2 linked regions of the Alligator mississippiensis genome follow. The protein of the gene in region 1 purifies or fractionates together with the protein of each later gene. This does not show direct contact. Links are inferred from orthologs where the notes say so. Each region holds a gene or a part of one and is shown in the gene's direction. Other genes may lie near its edges.

Region 1 (11,498 bases):
TGCAGCCACCAGCTGCAGCTGCCCCGGCGGCGCCCCCCGACTACGAGGACCTTCCCTTGGCCGCCCCAGATGAGAATCTAGCCTCAGGGGTCCTGGCTGTAAGCCCTCCCTAGGAGCCCCTGGCTGAGGATCCTGCCTTGGGAGCCCTGGCTGAGAGCCCTCCTTAGGATCCCCCAGCTGAGAATCCTGCCTTTGTAGCCCAAGCTGAAAGCCCTCTCTAGGTACCCCCAGCTGAGAGCCCTCACTCACTTCCCCCTGCCTGGACACCTCCTGTTGACCCCCCTCTCTTTGCACAAGCTGAGGCTCCTCCCTCAGCACCCCCTGCTGGACCCTCTTCCCTAGGGCCCCCTGCTGAGTCCACTTGCTGAACCCCCCCTCCTGAACCCCCTCACTCAGCACTCCCACTTGGAGCCCTTCCCTAGCTACCCCCTGTTGAGGCTCCTCCTTCAGCTTCCCCTCCCTAGGTATCCCCTGTTGAGACTCCTCCCTAGACCCCTGTCGGACCCCCTCTCTCAGCTCCCCATCCCTAGACCCACCCTGTAGAACTGGCTCTCTATGCCCCTCCTGTTGAATCCCTCCCTCCTTGTCCTGCCCTGCCTGCCTCTCCATCACCCCCTGCCCCCCCTTGCCCTCTACCACCCCAGTCTCTCCCCAGCCAGGCCCAGCCAGCAGCAGCGAGAGGACGAGATTGGGGGCAGTGGCCTTTTGGAGCAGGGCACCAAGAGCATCACGGAGGCCGGGGGCCAGGGGCAGGCAGCGCACAGCACCTAGCAGGAAGCCAGCATCGCTTTCTAACTGACCCAGTAGCCCGTCCAGCAGGCGCTCTGAGCCAGCCAACAGGCGCCGCAAGTCATAGCCCTGGCGGCGCTGGAAGAGGCGGGCGATAGCACCACGTGTCAGCACACTCAGGATCTGCCCATGCACGGCCAGCAGCTCCCGGCGCAGCTGCCCCTCCGACTGTCGCGTGCGTGACACCGACACCAGCACCAGTGGGCCTTGCTGCTCAAACACCAGTTTCCGGTCCTCTGTGGAAAGGCAGAGACATAGATTTGCCCCAGCTGGATCAAGGCCTTTCACTGCCCCAAGAGCCATCCAGGGGACAGGATCGAGGCCCTTGAGTCTCAGGGACAGGATCAAGGCCCTCAGCTCCCTCCCCAAGAACCACCCAGGCAGGGTCCCAGGGGACAGGATTGGGGCCTCTCAGGTCTCTGGGGACAGGATCAGGGCCCTTAGCCCCCTCCCCAAGAGCCAGCCAGGGTCTAGAGGACAGGATTGGTTCCCCCAAGCTAGACACCCAGGGTTCTGGGGATGAGCTCAGGGTCTCTCAGGTTCCAGGGACAGGATTGGGGCCCTCAGTTTCCTCCTCCACCCTAGCCAGCCAGCCAGGGTCATAGGGACAAGATTGGGGCCTCTTCTTGTCCCCTGTCCCCTGTCCTGCTGGCTCCACCCTGCTTCCCTCTCCTACTCCCTCCATCAGTGCCCCTCCAGCCTCCCCACCTGTCACCACAGTTCCCCACCCTTCCCAGGGCCCCCCAGCCCATACCCTACCCCCACCTCAGCGCCCCCAGCCCAGTGCCTCCTACCCTGCTCCCCATCCCATACCCCACACCCCCAGTGCCCCCTGTCCCCCAGTCCATATACCACACACCACCCTAGTGCCCCCAGGCCAGACTCCAGTCCAGTGTCCTCTACCCTGCCCCCCAGCCAATACCAGAGCAGATGGAACGGATAGCATCATGGCCACTCTCCACGAAGGAGACGAGGGCCGTCATGACACCCATGGTGGCCGAGAGTGCCTCCTCGCTGCCATAGCGTGAGTAGATGGGCTTCCCTGCCTCACTCAACACAAACACGTGCTTGCGCCGTGCCCGCCAGCCCGGGCCCCCAGCCTCCTCCACCCCACGAGAGGCTCCAGGGCTGGGGCTGGGAATGGAGCCAGGAGCTGCTTCCTCCAGGCCAGCACTTAGTTCCTCAGGACCTGTGTGGGGGGAGAGAGAGACAGGTGAGGGGGGACCCAGGCATCCAGGCTTCCTACACACTGCTCTAAAAAACCAGGCCCCACTGCCATCTCAGGGCAGGGGAAGAAGCTAGGTGCCTGGGCTTCCAACCTCCACCTGCCCTAAGTAACCAGACCTGAGCCGAGAGAGAACTCGGGCATCCCGGCTCCCAGTCCCCCTGAGGCCCCACTTCCCTCCTAAAGAATCCAGGCTCCCAGCATCCTTCCCCGCCACTGTAAGTAGCCAGGCCCCATTCTCATCACAGATCCAGGACAGAACCTGGATAGCCATCCCACCAGGCTCCACTCCCCAGAGCGGAGAGAGAACCCAGGTATCCGGACTCCCAGTACCCCCTGCTCCAACTAACCAGGCCTCATTTCCCACTAGGAACAGGAAAGAGAACATAGAAGTCCAGGCTCCCAGGCCGCACAGGCAACCCAGGCCTCATTCCTATCACAGAACAGGGAGAGAACTCGGGCATTGGGGTTCCCAATCCCAGCTCTAGGTAGTTGGGCCCCATTTCCATCTCAGAGGAAGGAGGGAACCCAGGTGTCCAGGAAGCCAGCCCACCAGGCCCTGCTCCTTTCCCCAAGCGTAAACAGTACCCAGGTGTCTGGCCTCCCAACCCCCATGCTTGCTGGGACCCACCAAACCCAAACTGAAAAATAACCCAGGCATCCAGGCTCCCAGTCCCCTCTCCCCCAGAGAAGAAAGAGACCCCAGGTATCCAGGCTGGTAAAAGTCCCCCCCCACCAGAGTGTCTCCCCCAGACACCCCTGCCCCCCCACAGGGCAAGCTCCTGCCCCCACCACCACCCCAGAGTCCTGCTCCCTCCCCACACCTCCCATGGGAGCAGAGCCTCACCTAGGGTTGGGGCCATCTCCTCCCCGGTTGCCATCCCCATATGCCAGGCAGCACCTGTGGGAGAGACAGAGGGTGGTGCTTAGTCCCAGGCTCTGCAGAGCACCCATACATCCTGGCTCCCAGCACTCCCTACTCTCACCCCCTAGCTGTCCCTCCCTTCTCAGAGAAACCAGGCATCAGGATAGGGCAAAAAGAAGCTGGCTGGACCAGCCCGCCCACATGGCAGTGGTCCTAGTCACAGGGCAAATGCTGTCCCAGGGCCCAGAGCCACACTTCCTGTCCCAAACCACATCACCGCCCGGGGAGTTTATCAGGGATAGGTGGGCATTATATGTGGCTGTTCCCACCTCAGAGCTGACTGCATCTTGGCCTTCCCCCAGCAGGGTTGTATTCAGATGTTTGCCAGATACTGTGCCCCAGAGCTGGCTGCAACTCAGCCTTCCCTGCAGTGTTATATTCAGCTGTTCCCCAGATGCTCCACTCCAGAGCTGACTGCATCCTGACACTGGGTGCAGTCTCTGCATATAGTGTTACACTCAGCCTGTTCTACCCCAGAGCTGGCCACATCTCAGTCCTCCCATGCAGTACCATACTCAGACTTTCCCCAGATACAGAACCCCAGAGCTGGCTGCAACTCAGCTCTCCCTCTACAGCATGTCAGCTATTCCCCAGCAGCTCCACCTCAGAACTGATTACAACCTTACACTGGGTACAGCCTCTGTATAGTGTTATACTCGAGCGGTTCCACCCCAGAGCTAGCTGCATCTTGGCACAGCCTGCATCTGTGGCATTACACTCACCTGTTCCACCCAAGAGCTGAATGCATCTCTGTGCTGGGCAAGGCATTATACTCAGCTGCTCCATCCCAGAGATGGCCACATCTTAACACCAGAGAAGCCCTCCTGGTGCAAAGGCTAATCCAGGACTTTCCTCTGTTTTAGAGCCCCTAAAGGGAGCGCAGAGATGCGGCCAGCTCTGGGTTGGGGCAGTTACAGAATGGCCAAGTAGAACTGCACATAAGGGACCCCTCAACACCAAAATGCAGGCAGCTCTGGGATTGTGGTGGCTGCAGACTGCTGAGTATATGAGCACATGAGGAAGCTGAGATGTGGCAGGCTCTGGGATTCAGGAGCTGGGGAATGACCAAGTATAACATGGCATGGAGAAGACTGAGATGTGCCTAGCTCTGGGGTGGGAAGCCTGGGAATAGCCAAGTCTAACACTGCATAAGAAGGGACCCTTCGATGCCAGGATGCAGCCTGCTCTGGGGTTGTGGCGGTTGTGTGTAACAGTATATGGGGGAGGCAGACATGCAGCCAGCTCTGGGGTGGAATGGCCAAGTATAACACCCAGCACTGAGATACAGCCAGCTCTGGGGTGGGGCCCAGCTGACAGCCCTTACAGCCTAGCACCACCAGTCCCTGCCCCTCAAAAGATCAGGGGAGGGCAGGCCCCCTCCACTATAGGACCATATGGATATGCCCCACATCTACAGGTGTCCCTCTCCCATCCTGGGGGCACCACAGTTACCCTCCCCCCCCAGTAAGCCCCTCCCACACCATCATCGCTGGGATTCCCTCCCTGGGGTGGGTCCCCCATTATATCACCCCAGAGGTAACCACCAGCCCTTACACCTCTCTTCCTACCTAGGGCCTGGGATACCCCCATATCAGTCACTACCTGGGCTCTCCTTAAATTAGCAGTGTTTCCCTGCCCAGGAGGTCCCCCCCTTGCCTCACCCTCGCCCCCCCCAACCCCCACGTGACCCTCCCACAGAAGCGGCCCTCCCACCCCAACATGGCCCCGGGGTACCTTCCACGTGGGTCACCCCTTACGTCAGTCCCAGGTCCCCCCTCGCCACGTGACCCTGTCCCTCACCCTACCCCAACTCCAGCCTCCCAGGCAGCGCTTCCGGGTCCACTCACAGGCAGCAACAGCCAGCCAAGGGGGCGCGGTGCGGCGCCCAGAGCCAATCAGGCGCGCCGAACCAGAAGGGGGCGGGACTTGGGTAATGTTACGGCCAATGGAGGCGCGGAGGGCGTGGCGGACGGCGGCCAATGGTGGACGGCTCGGTCCCCTCAGCTCCCGCCAATCGGAAGTCTGGGCCTAGAGGAGGGAGCCAATGGGGAGGAGGTGGGGAGTGACTGCGCCAGCTGACCTCTGAGCGGTGCGGTGACGTCATCCAGTCACGGTGTTGCGTTGTCACTTGGGTTCCTAGCCCCCTGCAGTCTTGTCTCTGCCCTTCTTTGTGACGTCGCTGTGGCACGTGATGGCATCACTCGCCCCACCCCCCCATACGCTACCCTGTGACATCATCTGTGGCCCCGTGACATCACTCTCTGGGCTGTGCCCCCAACCCCCACGAGGCCCTCTTAACTACGTGGCCTTGTGGGGTCATCACCGCACACCGTGACAGCATGGGGACACCTTAGGGTGGGGCCGTAAGGTGGCCGCACGGTGACATCATTGCCTGACCCCCCACTGACTAGCAGGATCATGTCCCCACTGTTGCCATGACAACAACAGGCCTTGGTGGCCCTGGGTGGCTGCATCTCCCACATAAGAAGGCCCCCTCCTTTCTTGGAGAACCCAAGCATCCCAGTTTCCAGTGGCACCACTCCCCTTTCACATGTGTCACCCTCTCTCATTCATCTCTCATTCATCTTTCCAGTTCCTTCCTGTAGACTCAGGGCCCCGTGACCTCCCCACAGGCTGGGGTGGAGGGGCAGGTTCACCTTTTCCATCCTACCCTGACCCCCTCCCTCAGCACCTCAGGTTTCCCCAGCTGCCCCAGAGCTGGCTGCACTTGGCCTCCTGCAGGCACTGTTCAAGCAAGGAGAGGAGGTGGGGCAGCAAGGGAACCAAGTAGGGAGAGCTGCTCTGGGACCAAGATACACCCAGCTCTGTGGTGGGTTGGCTTGCACACAGCTGCATATAAGGCCATGTAGTCAGGGCTCATCTGGGACTGGGTTTCAGCCAGCTCTGAGGTGAGGTAGGTGGGAATGGCTGAGTGTAACAGTACAAAGGGAAAGAAGCAATGCAACTAGCTCTGGAGTGGAGCAGAAAAGAACAGCCAAGTATAACAGGGCACAGGGAAGGCCTAGATGCAGCCAGCTTTGAGGTCAAGTAGCTGGGGAGCAGCTCAGTATAAAAGGGTACAGAGGTGGTCTAGATGCAGCCAGCTCTGGGGCCAGGTAGCTGGGAATGGCTGTGTATAACAGTGCAAAGGGAAGGCTGAGTTGCACCCAACATTGGAGTGGAACAGCTGGGTAATGGCTGAGAACAAGAGGACACTGGGGAGGCTGCAATGTGGACAGCTCTGGGGTGGAGCAGATGAGAAACAGCTGAGTATAACATATAGGGAGATGCAGTCAGCTCTGGGGTGGCATGGCTGGGGAGCAGCTGAGTATAACAGGGCACAGGGAAGGCCAAGATGCAGCTAGTTCTGGAGTGAAGCAACTGGGAATAGCTGACTATAACAATGCAAAGGGAAGCCCAAGATGCAGCCTGCTCTGGGGTGGGGTGGCTGGGAAACGGCCAAGTATAACATTGCCTGGGCAGGGCCACCTACAGCCAAGATGCAACTAGCTCTGAAAGAGATCAGCCACAATGAACAGCATGCAGGGAGGGGTGGTCTGCTACTGAGATGCAGCCAGCTCTGGGGTGGAACAGTGGGAAAAACCTAAGTATAACAGGGAAGGCCGAGATGCAGCCAGCTCTGGGGTGGAATAGCTGAGGAATGGCTGTGTATAATGCATATGGAGATGCAGCCAGCTTGGGGTAGAGAAGCAGGAAAAGCAACTGATTATAACAGCACATATGGAGGCTTAGAGGCAGCCAGCTCTAGGGTGGACCAGATAAGAATGACTGAATATAACCCTGCATTGGGAAGGCTGAGATCATCCCAGGTCTGGGGTGGAACAGCTGGGGAACGGCCAAGTATAACCACACACAGAGAAGGCCTAGATGCAGCCAGCTCTGGGGTTGGGGCAGCTAGCCTTGCAGAGTATGACATATGGGGAGATGCAGCCAGCTCTGGGGTGGAACTGATGACAACAGCCAAATATAACACTACATGGTGAAGGCCAAGATGCAGCCAACTCTAGGTTGGAACAGCTGGGGAACAGTCGTATAAGGGGAAACTTAGCCAGCTCTGGGTGAGGGGTGGCTGGGACTGGTGCAGTATAACAGGGCACAGGGAAGGCTGAAATGCACCTAGCTCTAAGGTGGGGCAGCTTGATGGGGGGGAGGTGAGTGACACCCCCCTCCTCCCCCGCCCTGACACCAGGGTTCCCGCCCTCCTGGCAGGCTGCCAGGCCATGCTCGGGCCCATCCCAGCAGGGCGGGGAGCAGGACTTCCTCATCGCTGTGCTGGGCGTCTACCGGTCTGTCCATCTGTCCAGGCAGCCCCAGAGCCTCCCCAACTCCAGCCATGGCCTCCCCTGTGGGGCCCCTCCAGGCCTTCCTGCAGTGCCGGGTGTGCCCTAATCCTGGGCTGCTCGAAAAGGAGTTCCAGGTGAGGCAGAAGGGGTGGAGAGGGAAGAGGAGGGGCTGGGAACCTGGGACACCTGGGTTCCCAAGCTGCTCTAGGAGGCTCTGGGAGTGGGGTTGGGGGGAAGGATTAGAGTCTGGGGGAACTAACAGCCCATTCACCTGGGTTCTGTCTCTAGATGGGACTTCTGCTAGGTTAGAGCTAGGGGGTTGGGAGACCAGGCACCTGGGTTTCCTGGGAGATGATTGGGGGCTGGAGGGTACAAGCAGGGGGACTGGGAGCCCGGACATCTGGGTTCTCTCCCTGTTCTAAGGGGAGTGGGGTTTGGGGAGGTGAGAGCCATGCCCCACCTAAAGTGCAGCCCGGCAGAATACTAGAGGATGCTGGGTTGTGTGTATGGTGAGGGGGGCACTATACTCAGCTGTTGGCCCCACTGCCCCACACAAAGCACATATTAGCCTTCCCATTGGGGTGTTATATGCAGCTGTTCCACCCCAGCACTGGATGCATCTTGGCCTTCCCAGTGCCCTGTTACACTTGGCTGTTTCTCAGCCATGCCACCCCAGAGCTGGCTGCATCTCCAGGCGAGCACTGCCCCAGGGTCTCCCCCACCAAGCCAGGGCTTCAACACCAAGCCCGAGGCCCCAGCTGAAACCATTGCAGAGAGAACGCAGAACCCACAGCCCAGCCCCCCACTCTCAGTTCTGCATTCACAGCCTGCCAGGGACTCAGGCATCTGGGCACACAACCTCCACCCCCCATTCTTACGCCCTATCCCCCAGCCTTCTTCCCACCAAGAGAACCCAAGCATCTGAGTTCCCTGCCCATAGGTGGCAGAAGGCAGCAGAGGTTCCTACCCTTTATGCAAATATATAATCTGGCTCCTCCTATATGTAAAATAGTCCTCCAAGCCACACCCCCTTATACAGATACCTCCCTTATCATTACCTGCCCTGTAACCTGCAGAACAATGGCTGCCTTTGTGTCAGGGATGCAGCCATCTCTGGGGTAGAGCCCAGCGGTGGGGGAATGGACAAAGCCTGGGAGCCTGGATTTTTTTTCCTGCTCTGGGAGGGCAATGGGGCTGGGGAGGGGGGTGCTGTGTGGTGATATACACAACTTTTCCATCATAGAGCTGGTTGCATCTGCCCAGACATTATATTCAACCATTCCCCAGCTGTTCCACCCCAGAGCTGGGTGCATCTCACCTTATGTTCTACTCAGCTGTTCCCCACCCCAGAGCTGGCTGTATCTCCCCATGGATTATGCTCAGTTGTTCCAACTCAGAGCTGGGTGCTTCTACCCACATTATATACTCAGCCATTCCATTGCAGAGCTGGCTGCATCTTGAGCCTGGCTACCCTGCCCCATTAACCCCATCCACTCTAGGGCCCGCTAACTACTCCCCTTCTTCCCCCCACAGGAGATCAAGGAGCGGGCCTGGGCCTTCCGGCAGCAAGCAGGATACAGCACAGATGCCGGCGCTGCACGGGACAACATCAAAAAGAACCGCTACAAGGACATTCTGCCCTGTGAGTGGTAGGGGGACCCAAGCATCTGGGCTGGGGTCCAACCCCCCCCTCAGAGGAGGGGCTGTCTGTTATAAGTGGCTGTTCCCCAGGGTGCTGCCTCACAAAGCCAGGCCAGCTGTTCCACCTCAGTGCTGACAGCATTTCAGTCTTCCCCATGTTGCGCTATATGTACTCAGCCATTCCCATCTGTTCCACTCCAGAGCTGGCTACATCTTGGGCCTCCTAGTGCTATGTTTTACTCAGCCGGTTCTACTTGTCCCATCACAGAGCTGGCTGCCTCTCAGCTTCCCCATGTGTTGTTTTACTCGGCTGTCTGCAGTCACTCCACCCCAGGGCTGGCTGCATCTTGGCACCAAGCAAGCTTTTCCCATGGAGCATTATACTTAGCTGTTCCCCAGCCATCCCACCCCCAGAGCTGGCTTTCTTTTGTCCCTCCCAGTGTTGTTATACTCAGCTAGTTCCACCTGTCCCACCCCACAGCTAGCTGCAGCTCAGCCCTCCCAGTGCTGTGTTATACTCAGCCAGTTTCAGCTGCCCCACTCCAGAGCTGGTCACAGCTTGGCCTCTCCATGTGCTGTTGTACTCAGCTGTTACCCAGCTGCTCCACCCCAGATCTGGGCGCACATGGAGTGTTATACTCAGTTGTCCCAGGCCACCCCATCCCAGAGCCAGCCGCATCTTAATCTTCCCTGGGCTGTATTTTACTTGGCTGTTCCCATCAGTTCCACCCCAGAGCTGGCTGCCTCTCAGCCTCCCCATGTGTTGTTATACTGCATCTTGACACCAAGCGAGATCTTCCCATGCTACTCCCATCCCAGCGAGATCATTCCCAGCTACTCCCATCCCAGAGCTAGCTGTATCTCAGCCCTCCCAGTGCTGTTATACTAAGTCATTCCCATCTGCTCATACCCAGAGCTAGCTGCATTTTTGCCTCCCCCTGTACTATTATACTTGTCCATCCTCACCCGCCCCTCCCCAGAGCTGCCTGCATTTCAGTCTTTGCTGTGCTGTTATACTTGGCTGTTCCCAGCTGTGCCACCCCAGAGCAGCCACCTCTTGACCTCCCCATGTGCCTCACAGTGCCCCAGAAATGAGCACACTCACCCCTCTGTTCCTCACTCCCAGATGACCAGACACGGGTGGTGCTGACGCTGGTGACAGAGGAGGGGCAGGGCGACTACATCAACGCCAACTTCATCAAGGTACCCCTGGGGATGGGAGGGAGGCAGATGGGGGCAAGAGGGAGGGGCTGAAGAACAAGAGACACTCATTCTATCCCCCGTCTATCCCCAACAGGGGGCTGGGACCCAGAGGTGCTACATTGCTACACAGGGGCCACTACCTCACACCCTGCTGGACTTCTGGAGGATGGTGTGGCAGTACCGGGTGAAGGTAGTGGGACCGGGACACCTAGTTTCTCTGGGAGGCAAGTGGGGCCTAGTGGGTAAGAGAGTGAAGGCTGGAAGCCTAGATGCCTGGGTTCCACCCACTGCTGTTCCTTCCTCTCCAGGTGATCATCATGGCCTGCCGGGAGGTGGAGATGGGCCGGGTGAGTTGTGGGGCTCTGGGGAGATCCCCTTCCTCCCCCTGCTCTCCCTCTTCTCCAAGGGGTTGTGAGGGGCATCTCCCCTCTCCTGGTGACTGATGTTCCCCCCCACAGAAAAAGTGTGAGCGCTACTGGCCTCTGGAGAATGAGCCACTGCAGCTGGGGCCCTTCTGCATCACCCAGGTACTCCCCAGCCATTTCCTGCCCAAACAGTGCCCTTCCCCTGAGCCAGCCACCTCTCAGCCTTCTTGGAGTGGCCTTATACTCCGCTGCTCCCCAGTGCTTCACCCCAGGGCTGGCTACATCTCAGCACCATTAGGCCCTTGTTATACTCGGGCATTCCCCAGTGGTTGCACCCCAGAGCCAACTGCATCTTAGCCCTCCCTATGTACTGTTATATATCCCAACCACCCCCCTCAGAGCTGTCTGCATCTCAGCCCTCTTGGAGTGGCATTATGCTCAGCCATTCTCCAGCCTCTCTCCCCAGAACTGACTATATTTCAGCCCTCCAAATGCAATGTTACACTCAGCCATACCCCAGCTACCCCATCTTAGGGTTGGACACATCTTAGCCTTCTCTGAATGGCATTATACTCATCCATTCCCTAGTCGTTCCACCCCAGAGCTGGCTGCATCTCCCCATTTCCTCCCCCATCTCATACCTGCTCCTGTCTCCCCTCCAGACCCAGGAGCAGCAGTTGAATCCAGACATCATGACTCGGTTCCTCTGCATCACCTTCCAGAAGGTCCCTGCCCCTCCCTTCAGCCAGCATTCTTGTTGGGGGGCATTGTGATAGCTGTAATACCCCAGGGGGGCAGCAAGGGCCTTACAGGTCTGGGTAGAGGGGGGCCCGGTGGTGGGCACTAGTCTGGCTGTAATACCCACAGCAAGGAGGCACAGTATTACCAACTCTCATGATTTTTGGCATTGTTCTTCAAGTCTACACTTCAGGAATGTGAAAAACGAGCTCTTTCTTTATATAAGAGTTGGCAGTACTGGGGAGAGGGCAGCAGGGGAGGGGGCACTTGGGAGTTCAGGGCGGGTCACTGGCCTGGTAATGTCCCCG
Region 2 (11,818 bases), on another chromosome or scaffold:
CCCAGTGGGGAAGGCATCCACATGTTCTCAGCTTGTCTTTTGCTAGCAAAAGATGCAGCAGCCCAGACTGGATTTAGCGATTTCCAAGTCTGAGTTTGGGCTCCGCAGACTTTCTTGTTGGTTAGCAAACTTTTTTGTAGCCGGGACAGCTAGAAACCACACACCCAGATTGGCTTTCGGGGTCCCTTCTGTGTTTCAGAGTGCATCACCCCAGGAAGTATGAAGGGAATTAAAAGACTTGTAAAGCGTCTCCCATTAAATATCCCCATCTAATAGGGTTTGCACAATTTGCATTCCTCTACTCCCAAGCTTGTTATCACTTTAATATTCACAGTCAATAGCATTGATTTCTGGACAGCAGCCTGTAGCAATGTCACAGCAGAGGTTATTGTTTTACTTAGACCTTTCACTTAGAGGGATAGACAACACTGCCCCATCTATCTGCTTGCCACCTTGTGTCTTAGGATTTCCAGGGCAGGAAGAATTTGTCTGCTGGACCCTCAAGCTCCCCCGTAACTGTAATATCCAGTTTTACTGCTGCTACTAAGTCTTATTCCCTGCCCCAGAAAGCTTGCATTGCAAACAAGTCAAGTGTCCGATGAACACGAGTACTTGAAAAACGGAGGAAAAAAAAAGGAAGTTATTTTTGTCTCACGGGGTTTACAATGGGTTCCCTTGTCAACATTTTTCATTTTCCTCACCACTGGGGATTTAGTAAATGAAACAGAATTGCAGAAGAAAATGGCAGAAGGGGTCAAAAAATGTTTATGATCCTAGGGCTATTACTTGTAAATATTACAATTTGGAATGAGCTGTTTTTCAAACCAAAAAAAAAAAAAAAAGAATGGCTTAAAAAAAAGAAATAAAAAACCCCAACTTTTATTTGGAGAGGCTGTGGGATTACTAGTAAGCTGGGCAAATGAGGGGTTGGGGGAAAGATGCATCTGGAGAGGCTTGGTTTTCAGCAGGAGGCTGAGCGTACCAGGTAGGTGAAGACAGATAGGTGCACGGGGCTGTATGATGCCAGGAGCAGGGAAAGCAGCGAAGGTCAAGTCCCTATCAGCACGAATGCAGTAGACAGAGCGCTTTCCAGTTCAGTGACCTTCCCCTTGGAAAGCCCAGCCTGGAGGGAGAACTATGCACTCAGGTTGCACCCGGCAGAGATAAGGGATCCTGTTTCTGTTTAACAGTAAACATTGAAAGGCCTTTTCCTGGCACATGGATGTAGCTGAAACAAGAAGAGTTGCTTTCAGGTTGGAAAGCTAACCTGAAATACAAGGGGCCTCTTCTACACCGTGGAAAGCAGGATGTGTCGAATCAGCAGCAGTAGCAATGGTGAAAGCTGCCCCCAGACACTCTGGCTAGGGACAGACATTACACATAAACCGGTTTAAGCGATCAGAAACTGGACTAAACCTGTAACAGAACAGATGTTCAGTGCACATCAACCAGTTTGAAAATGACTGAAACTGGTTTGAGATAAACCTGGTTGAATGTAGTATCAGACTTAACCCATTTGGGTCAAACCGATTTATGCAGCGATGATCTGAGCAGGGTGCAGGGCCCAGGGCAAATCAGCCTGTGTGAGGCCTCATCTCCGGATGCAAAGAAGCCGGTGGCAGATTCGGCGGTGAGGGCGGGAGGTGTGCTGAGTAGCTGGACATGAAGCTGGCAGCAGCACGGAGTCATCACGGCCGCTCCACCCAGCTCCATGGGGCTGCCCAAAGTGCAGGGCCCAGGGGCGGTTGCCCCAATTCACCCCCACCCCCAGGACAGCCCTGGGTTTATGCAATGTCTGTCCCAGACTCCTTGCTGGTTGAAGTGAAATCAGAGTCCCCTAGCATCCAGGCATGCTCGCTGGGCTGGCAGGGCTCTTTTCTCTGCTCCACAGCAGGGCTGTCCTCTCCCTCTGCTCCCTGGCTGCAGCTCCTGCACAGACTGCAGGCATCCCTCCTGGCTTCCCCTAGCAGACCACATGCTGGCTACGGTCCGTGCTGTGGGAGACTGGTTCCTTCCTTGGAAACACCGTTTAAGAGAGCTTGAACTAATGGAGAGAGGCTTTGTTTTCTGACGGGTGACAAACACTGAGGGGTGATAAGCACTGTTATCCGTTCCCTGCTGGGCTGGTCAGGAGCGGGGGGGTGGGGAACCCCTCCCTAATCAAAGCGTCCTGCCGGGGCCTGGCCATGCCCTCCCCGCCTTAGCTCAGCCCTGTGGAAGGGAAGGGAGGGCTGCTCTGGCACCCCTGGGCTTCTAGCCTGAGCTACTGCAGGCATGTGCCTGCATGTCTGGCATGCCTGAGCAGTTACCAAGTGATTTAGCCAAGCCAGATTAGACTAACCTGCAAAGATTGTGTCAATTCAGGCTCCAGCTTTTTGAATGTCTGTCCCTAGCCCCTATACATTACAGCTGCCCCCCTGCTACCAAGAACAGAGTTATGTCAGAGGGGAAGTTCAGGTCTGAGTTGGGCTCATGTATATGCATCCAAGGAGGCAGTCCCTATTTGTCTTGCTGAACCTGATCAATGACCCCATAAGGCTCCAGTGATGCTGTTCAGCAGATGACAAAGTCCCCAGTCCTGCACTCTTCACCAGGACAATCTCCCACGAATACACCTCAGCACACATTAGACATGACGAAAGCTCGCACTGTGACCCTCACTGGAAAGACAAGTTAGCCAAGGTTAAGCAACTTAGCTCAGGCCAGACTCTCGGTCTGTGGTAGATGAGAAAGGAAGAGAACCCTAGAGCCTGACTGTTTGCCTGTAACAATTACCTTCCTCCTACTTACAGCATGATCATTACTGCTCCACATTAACAGCTGGATCAGGTCATTCTGAAGTCAACTAATGACTTCCCTGTCATTGCAATGACAGGGTATTAGCAAGGATCTCATTTCCCCATGCCATGTTATAGGGTATTTTTGGCTACTGTTGCTTGCGCGTGGGCGTGGGTGTATGAAGCAGCAATTTTGGGGATTCTCGGAACGAATGAATAGCTGGAAACTCAAGGGACCGAACTCCATGGCGCAGGAGATCCCTTCCAGTCCTTTGTTCCTCCATTCCATGGGAGTCTGTTCATTGGGGTTGGATCTGGGCCTAAAGAAGAACAGTCAACTTTTGCTTAAAGTGGCCAGCTTTGAGGGGACAAAAGCCAGGACCCTCCACAGACCTCCGGAAACAGGAACGGCTTATCTCACTCTCAGTTCCACCCAGCGTAACCACAGGACCACTGGTACGGCTCTGGGGGAGCCTGACTGTCTTGCTTCAGGCACAAGAGGTAGACCATCGCTACCTTCCAAACTAGAAGCTGTCTAGCTGTGTTGTGCGGTGCCATATGCAACCGGCTGCTGCTGATTTTCCACAGGATGGTGTGGGACCTTTCTAGAAAGAGGTTGGATCAGCCAATCTAGGGACATCTTTTTTTTTTAATTTGGGACAAATGTTCTGTTCGAGGCATTCCTTAGGAACTCTGAGGCACAACCCTACAATTTGGGATTGTCCTGGAAAATCTGGACTTTTCCTTTGAAACTTCCAGACAGGGACCAGACGGACCAAACTTCATGAACCTGATGGACCAAATAAAAAAAAACCCAACCAAAAAACCCCCCCAAAAACCAATACGGCCCACAAGAAACATGAAGAGGAAATATATGAAATTATGGCATGATACAATCCTGACCACCAGCACAGTCACACGCACCACACAGTCGGCTCATGACTTCTCAAATAACAAAGGACACTTGGCTGGGAAATCTAGTGCTGTCTGGAGGGCCTTGTTTTACAACATCCTCTGCATAAGCAGATCCCATCTGTCTAGTTCTCTTGTGTTTCGATGCAGATCAAGAATGGAAAGACTTCTGTTATATTGATCTCAGATGGAAAAATGAAGTGCGGTCTGTGGGCGACGATGAGCCACTCACTAGGTTATGCGCACCAAGTGCTGCAGCAAGGGTTGGCGTTGCAGAGAGATCTCTCTGAGGCAGCAGCATTTATGGTTTGAGTTGGCTGAGAGGTGACTCAACCTAAGACTCTGTCTGAACCATACCTGAGAGCGGGCTTTTCTGTTTGTAAGATACTTGGAGGAGTTGCAATGACTCCCAGCATACATCTCCGGAGGGTGCCCATCCACTGCTATACCCCCAGGCAGGGCAGTCCATGCCAGTGCTGCTCCCATGGCCAACACATGGGGCAGGTAGGGGCAGGTGAAAGGAGGTGATGTGCTGAGTTCACCCTTGGGGTGCTCCCTGCCCGTGGGTGCCCTTCTTTGTGCTCCTTTATGTCAGGACTGCAATGCACCTAGTTCTTAAATGGCAGGTCAGGAAGGACCATCCATCCGCCTTTGGGCATTGCATAAGGGCTTGGCACAGATCTGGGAGCACTGGACATTGCCTTGTGCTCCAAGGGTTGGTGCAACTTGGGTCTTCCCTCTATCCCTGCCTCTTTCTGGCTTAGAGTTGATATCCTTTAACCATGCCATAGGAGTGATGGGGAGGAAAAATGAGTCTCATTTCTTGCGCTGTTGTGTAGTTGTGCCGTGGATGCAGCCAGAGCTAGTTCTCCGTAACCAACCCAGTGTCCAAGCGGTGGCATCCACTCCCTTGAAATTGCACATGCCTTACCCACAGTGGAGAGACAGGGCAGTCCTACCTCAGCTTAAATAAATTCAAAGTCCAGAATGTCACAGAAAAGGAAACCACAGGTTATTTATTGACAGGAAACAAATGAGATATTCTGTGAATAGCTGCCAGGTTTCCCTACAGGAGCGCAGACATGCCAGGGCCTTCAGCACAGGAAAGGGGAGCCTGTGAGGCCTAGGGAGGACCAAGTGCCTCCCTGCACATCCCAGTAGCAGCCTTCACAGTATCCCAGGATGCAGGATCCTCTCTTAGGGGAGAGTGCTCTGTGTGTCCCATCCACTGAATACACTTTTAGAAGAAAAACAGGGAGGCTGAGGATGGAGGAAGCAGTGTCTCCCACCCTCTGGCTGAGGAGAGGTCTGTGGCACAGAGTCCCAAGTCTCTCCTGCAACCCAGAGCCCCCGGAGATGTGGCTGCTATGCCCTATCTGACCATATCAGCGCTGCTGGAGCAGGCAGAGTTTGTGCAGAGGACCAGGAGAAGCACTGGGAGATGTGGCTGGGCTGATGGGAAGAACAGGCACAGGAAATCTTAGATGATAAAGCCATCGAGGACCCTCCTACAGTCTTTGCTCTAACCTCCTGTGTAGCACATGCCCAAGGATTCATCCCCTTGCTCGTGTGCTGGGAACATTAGCTTGCAAGGAGGTGGGTACCAGAGGGAGGTGTATGGATGCACGGACAAGGGTAGGCATTCAGAATGACCCGACAAAAACGGGTCTTGTGGGGGCTGTGGGTTATCAGCTGGGCTCCGCTAACTGGACTCTTTCAACCTTCACCTTCTTCATGTTGTAGAGACACTTTCCCTAAAAATACGTACTGCAGACACTTATCCATACTCTCACCAAGCAAATCCAGGTGTCTCGGTAAAAACAGGGCCTGATCTGCAGAGGTACTGGAGACCCTCCACTCCCATGACCTCGGTGGGATTTGTGGGTGCCAAACACACTCAGGCCCTTTCAGTATATGGCCACACAGGGGCTTAGGTATCTAAATTAGGTAACTCTTGAGGTTGACATGGTGTATAAAAGCCAGTGAGACCCCAAATACGAATGGAAAGTTTCTCATTGACTTCAGTGGGCTTTGGAGCAGCCCCCTGGGCTTGTCTTTGCAAACTGGGGGTTGTTTTACTATGCCTTTAACTGAGCCTCTCCCAGCTTTTCCTTCATAGGAATGTTGTAAGCCATGCGCTAGATCAGCAGCACGATGAATACACCCCTTTGGGTAGTGCAGATACAGTGATAATAATATAAATTACTCCCACATGGAGTATTTAAGTGCCAGATGCTTTAATACCAGCATAATACATTCACACAAAAGGTTGTACCTCTGGAAATGTTTTGGTCAAAATTAGCACCCCCTAACTCAAATAGTTATAGTAGTACAACATCCATGTGCAAAGCAAACCTGAGAGTTAGGAAACAAGCAACCTGCTCTTTTTTCCCCTTTCTCTCCTTCACTGGGAGAATGTAATTGCTTCCCTTGGTTTCTGTAGTGAATTTTGCCCTTCTGCTGGACATAGCAAAGTAGCTGGTGGACATCCTGGGATCTCTGGCACTTCTTCCCTTCTGGATTAAACCTTCTGCCGGGTGATGTGGTTTTTACCCTTGTTTTAGTTTTCTGGTTGGCTGGTTGGGGTTTGCTGAGCAGAAAGGACAAGAGCGTTGCTAGTGTCTGTCTTCGAGAGGAAAGGTTTTTTCAACGAGGAAAGAAGACTCGGGCAGATAGCTTTTGCTGCATTGGCAGGAACTAGGTGAATGTCCCTGATTTGGAGGCTGACACAATGACTCCTCCTTTCTGAAGATGGTATCAGCAACGTTTTCTTCTGCAGAGTGTTTTATAAAGATGAACTCAGTTCTATGGGGAAGCAAGAAAGTGCCATTACATCCATTTTTCTGGTAGGAAAAACTGAGGCACAGAAAGATGCAATCTTTGTCCCAAAGCTATGCAGCTTGCCAGCTTGCGAGAGCCAGAAGTTGCACGTGGAGAAGAGCAGTATGTGGTATCCCGTGTGTATGGTTTGCTATGTGGGTGCCCTGGGTTTCTCTGGGGAGGTACTTCTCAGTGGAGCATGTTGCCAGATGATGCCTCCTGCCAGTATTTTCTTTGCGGTGCCCCTCCTACTTCTTTGCCTCAGAGCAGGTCCTGCCAGTACACATGTCTCTACCTGTCCCACTGGATCTGCTAGCTGGGAAGCTGTCTCAGAGCTGGCAGGCACGGAGAGAAGAGGAGACATGGACTTCTTCTGGAGCAGCTTTGTCCCATTGGAGAAAACTCTCTGCAAGGTGATGGCACCACAGATGCAGGTAAGAGTCTCGCCTAGTGCTTGGGGGAAGGGGAGGAGTGAAAGGCTCTAGGAAAAACAATGACCGCTGAGGGTACAGACAGACTGATTGTTTTCCAAATGCACCTGTGCCAGGTGTGTGTGCAGATGATGTGTGAAAATAGGACGCAGACCTGGCTTTAGGAGATGCAGGGTCTGCTCCTGGCTTTGCCACTCACTCTTTCGGTGACCCTGGCCAAGTCTCTTACTTCATCTATCCATTAGCATCCCCATTTGATTAATGCAGTGATAATGCCCGGCCGGGCTCATGAAGACTTCAGGATCCCACCACTTTTAGCGAGCAAGAAATACCAGCCTGCTCTCAACCCCTCTCCTCGTGGTACCTGGAAAATGTAAACTGAGGTGACTTGATCACTGGAGCTTGCTAGGGAGGGATGACTGACTAGTGGTTAAAGAGCTTGACTGGGACTTTTCTCCCAATGGGCCAGATGGAAGAACAGCAAAAAAGTAACATTGCCAATTGATTGGGGAGGAGAGTGACTGCAAGCGGCCCCTGGAGTCTAGTCTCAGCTCAGATGCGCCTTCTGCGACTTACTTCGATTTCTTAGCAACTCTGCCGTTGCCACCTCCTTTCTAAAATGGTGACACGGACACCCGCTTAACCTGCCCCCGGGACAGCAAGTTAATGTATGCACAACTCTGCTTCTCTATATACTAAAAGTCACCATCAAACACTCCAGGGGCCCTGCCACCAGCCTGGCACCCCAGGCCACTTGGAGAAGACCCTCTTGAAAAGCCTTCCTGAATGTTGGGAAGGTCGCCAGCGTGGGCTCTGTTACTGTAGCTGGAAGCTGGTGATTATTATTTTTAACAGGGTCATCACCTAGAACCTCTGGTTGAAATCAGGGCCCCACTGTGCTAGGTGCTGTATATTCAGACACTGCCTCTTGGGTTTTACAATGCACATGGATAAGATGAGCAGAATGGGAGAAAGGCAGTGCTGAGGCTGTACCCCTTTAGTGGGCAAGGGCTGTCTTCTTGCTGTGTGTTTATTTTGGCTCTAGCCAGTATAACACTGTAAGAGGGGCTCCTGGACATCCCCCTGCTAGAAATAATCACCAACGTATTGACAGCTCAGGTGAGGAGAGTGCAGGCCCAGATCTATGGAGACATGGACCTCAGTGTCTCATCCAAGTCCCTCAGTGATGGACAAAGGGACTGTGCTTTTAGCACAAGATCATCCCTACCATGAAATGACCCTACCTCTTTACATCCACAATTAGGCATTTTTGGGTCTGTCCCCAACATGCTAGTTGGGGTTGCAGTAAGACAAGTTGGTTGGGGTTTCTCTCCTCCTGGCTGGCAGAGAGAGCTCTGTCGGGTCATGACTCCCAGGGTGGGTTTGCAAGTGTAGGAAAAAAATCCTGCTTTGGCACTATGTTGGGTACTGCTAGCAAACTGGGCAGCCAGGCTAGATTCATTACTGGTAATCTTCCCAGGGCACCTGCCAACTCTTGGACAGGCATAGACTACACTTGAGACTACAGTTTCCTGAACAATGTGCCCCGCCATCCCCAAAGCCCAAGTGAGTGTATGTGAGGAATCATTATTCCTTCAGATTGGTGAGGGGATTTATCTGTTTATTTGATCTGATTTACATGCCACCCCCGGGTGGAAGCAGGGGGGGTAGGCACCCCTGCAGTGCCAGTCACTGCTCCTGCACCCCTTTTAGGCAATCAGTCCTACATCCGCCTATGCACACATCTAGCTATGACAGTGGGGACCAACCTTTTTTGGTAGGTGTGCCACAAATTAGTCCCATTCCTTCCTGGAGCGCTACATCCCCTTCTCCTGATGATCTGCTGCTCTGCTTTCTGCTTCCTGCCCTATCTGCCGCTCTGTTCCCTGCTCCTTCCCCAGTCTCCTATGTGCCCCACACAGAGGCCGCCTGTGCCGCTTATGGCTTACGTGCTGTGGATTGGCACACCTGAGCTATGGAAAGCTCCCCCTTTTTATAGACACTGCCAGCAAAGTCCCAGCCTTCAAAGGAAGACAGAGAACCCAATGGGGGAATTGGTCAGTTCGGTGCCTGTCCTTGCAACATGACAAAGCACACAAAGTGCCACATGTGGAGCTCTGGGCCAATGTTTCTCTATCTGTATAGAGGAATGAGAGGCCGATGGACTCAATGGCCAATCCAACAGCTTGGCTTCCCAGCCTGGTGCCAAATCCCAGGGAGTCCTGTGACATCCTTACGCCGGCGGTGTGGAGATAGAACAGAAGCCGGCTTTATCTTCCCTCATCAATGACAGCTTTATTTTTAGCAACTTGCCAGGCCGGATTCAAGGAAAGAAGAGGCAGATCTGCTGTGCACAATGGCAACGAGCCAGTGACGTGGCTAATTGCTGTGTTGCTATTTAAAAGCCTGTAATGAGCAGCCTGGGGATTTCACATCATGTTCTTCGCCCACCTCCATGCGCAGGATCGTCACCATGCTCCTGCCGCAGCTTCCACTGGCCTCTCCAGGCTCGAATGGGAATTGCATCTCCCACGGAGAGACTGCCCCGGAAATCACAAGACGGGGATGAGCTCTGCTCCTTAGGGAGCTCGTCGTGTTTTGGAGCTGAATGGCCTAATGTCCATCTCACTTTGCATCCATCTCAATGTTTTCAGTCTCTATGGGGTTCAGCGCTCCAGTGTTGTGCCCTTGCTTCCTGCCTTGCAGGTCAATGGAGAAGGGGCTTTCCCTGGTCCAGCATCTTCTAGGCTTTCTACTCAAGTTTAGAGGCTGTTCCAGTCTCAGGGTGCCGAGAAGCTGGAGATGGGTCTGGGGACCATTGGAGCTAGTGTAGGGGCCTGGGATCTTTGCTCAGGTTAATGTGACCCCTGGTATGTTCTGCTTTTACCTCTAGATCATTCTTTGCAGGGGGTTATGCCCTTCAGCTTGACATGACCTAGGTTAACCTCACAGATGTGTGCAGTAAAATCGTATGGGTAGCTGCAGCTCCAGGGAGCTGTTTAGGGCAGGGGTGGGCAAAATGCAGCCCTCCAGGCCATTCTATCCAGCCCGTGGGACCCCTAAAAATTGTAGAAAATTAATATTTATCTGCCTCTGGCTGCCTGTCATGCGGCCCTCAATGGCTTGCCAAAACTCAGTAAGCAGCCCTCTGCCCAAAATAATTGCCCACCCCTGGTTTAGGGAATGCCTTAACCACAAAGCTAACCCAGGCCCTTACCCAGATTTTGCTTAAACCCACTTGTCACCCACACAAAAATGGCAGCTATGAGGTTGGAGTTGCTTTGAACCTGAGCTAACTCACCCCCCATGGAGCATAACCCAGTGATTCCCAACCAGGATTCTGCCAGATCCTTTGAAGTGTTAGTGATAAGGGAGGTATCCAGGTTGTAGCCATATTGGTCTAGAGGAAAAGGCCATTGGGACTCATAGTAGAGATCCTATCTTTTATTAGACCAACAAGATTTTTGCAAAAACAATTCTTTAGTTGCAAGCGTCCAGGCACAAACACCCTTCATCGGGCATTGGAGAAAAGATTGTAAAAGTTCTCCTGGGTAGAAATGAGAGTTCATATTTCATAGGGTTTCACAGAGGAGTCAATAGATGGAAGACTCCTTTGGGCAGCCTGTTCATGGCTGCTGGCATGGAGCCTCTCACCTCCTGCTAGGATCTGTGATGATGCAAATTACCTTGAAACAAAGGCAGGAGCAGGAGCTCAGGTTTCAGGTGGTCATGGTTGCTTCCTGCTTGGGAAAATATGAAGATTTCATTTAAAAAAATGGCTAAAAATTCAATATCTTCCATGTGTCAGGTATCCTGGCTGTAGCCATATTGGTCTAGAGGGAAAGGCAATCAGGACTCCAGTAGAGGTGATATCTTTTATTAGACCAATAAGATTTTTGCAAAATAATCTTTTCTCCGATGCCTGAAGAACGGTGTTTTTGCCTGAAAGCTTGCATTTCAAGACCCTTTTTGCAAAAATCTAGTTGGTCTAATAAAAGATATCACCTCTACTAGAGTCCTAATTGCTCTAGCCTGGCTACAGCCTGAATACTAGTGATAAGGGAGGTGTGAGAAGATAAGGAGATAAGAGCAGGCTCAGGCTTGTCACTGCTCCGCCAATCCCCCATCTCCACTACTTGGCCCCTCTGCATGGAGGCAAGCCTGGTAATATATAAATTCGTCTTTGAAATTGGGTGCCGCTCCATTCGCAGAAGTTATGGAGTGTGCCTTGAGTCCGAAGAGGGGGGCTTTGAGTCTAAAAAGGTGGAGAGCTGCTGGCATAACCGAGCTTTGCCTGGGCTGGACCCTTCCACTGGGCAGTGAGGACAAAGGTTAAATCACTGAAGACCTCCAATGCCTTCCCACAGTCCCCTATGGAGAGACCAGTCTTCTTGGGGAAGAACCTGCAGAGTAGTTCAGAGTAGTTCAGCATTACGATCCTTGGGGTATGTCCCTAGACACTCACGGTCGAGTGCAGAAACAGGGCGGGCGTGATAACACTGGCAGGGCTCTTGCTTATGCCCGGCTAAATGAATGCAGGGGTTGATCTCTCAGGGGAGCTCCGGATGGAGGCAGCCTGCATGAGCTCGGCCATCCTTCTTGGCTTTCCATTGTTGTAAATGGCAGAACAAAACCTACCCTGGGGTGTGCTGGTTTTCTGTACGTCCTGGGTTGCTCAATGGCTAGAAAGCAGCCATGGGGCTGACTCATTGTAGGTTGTGCTTGATTAGTCAGATGACAGTCAATGGACGAGATCCTGCAAGCTCCCCTCAAAGTTGCTTTCTGGCAAGGATGTGCTTGTTACTAGAGCCAGCTGCTGTCTCTGGGAAAATAACCCCTTCCCCCTTTGTGCTTGCAGAGAAAGCAGCACCGTAGCAG

Evidence for each region.
Region 2: the proteins of PTPN18 (region 1) and PSTPIP2 purify together in Homo sapiens (affinity purification with mass spectrometry; 4 studies listed by BioGRID and IntAct, with this or other methods). This does not show direct contact. The link is inferred for Alligator mississippiensis from reciprocal best matches to the Homo sapiens genes PTPN18 and PSTPIP2.

The regions. Positions count from the first base shown.
Region 1 is NC_081831.1:27,548,460-27,559,957, forward strand, and holds the start of PTPN18 (tyrosine-protein phosphatase non-receptor type 18), read left to right. Parts: upstream 1-7,203; 5' UTR 7,204-7,293; coding exon 7,294-7,377; intron 7,378-8,776; coding exon 8,777-8,885; intron 8,886-9,989; exon of another isoform or gene 9,990-10,010; coding exon 10,011-10,087; intron 10,088-10,181; coding exon 10,182-10,277; intron 10,278-10,395; coding exon 10,396-10,434; intron 10,435-10,545; coding exon 10,546-10,614; intron 10,615-11,114; coding exon 11,115-11,177; intron 11,178-11,498. Other genes in the region: MON1B (vacuolar fusion protein MON1 homolog B), read right to left, coding at 1-1,025, 1,712-1,978, 2,862-2,901. UniProt on the Homo sapiens protein: Differentially dephosphorylate autophosphorylated tyrosine kinases which are known to be overexpressed in tumor tissues.
Region 2 is NC_081826.1:291,734,489-291,746,306, forward strand, and holds the start of PSTPIP2 (proline-serine-threonine phosphatase-interacting protein 2), read left to right. Parts: upstream 1-6,854; 5' UTR 6,855-6,871; coding exon 6,872-6,943; intron 6,944-11,818. UniProt on the Homo sapiens protein: Binds to F-actin. May be involved in regulation of the actin cytoskeleton.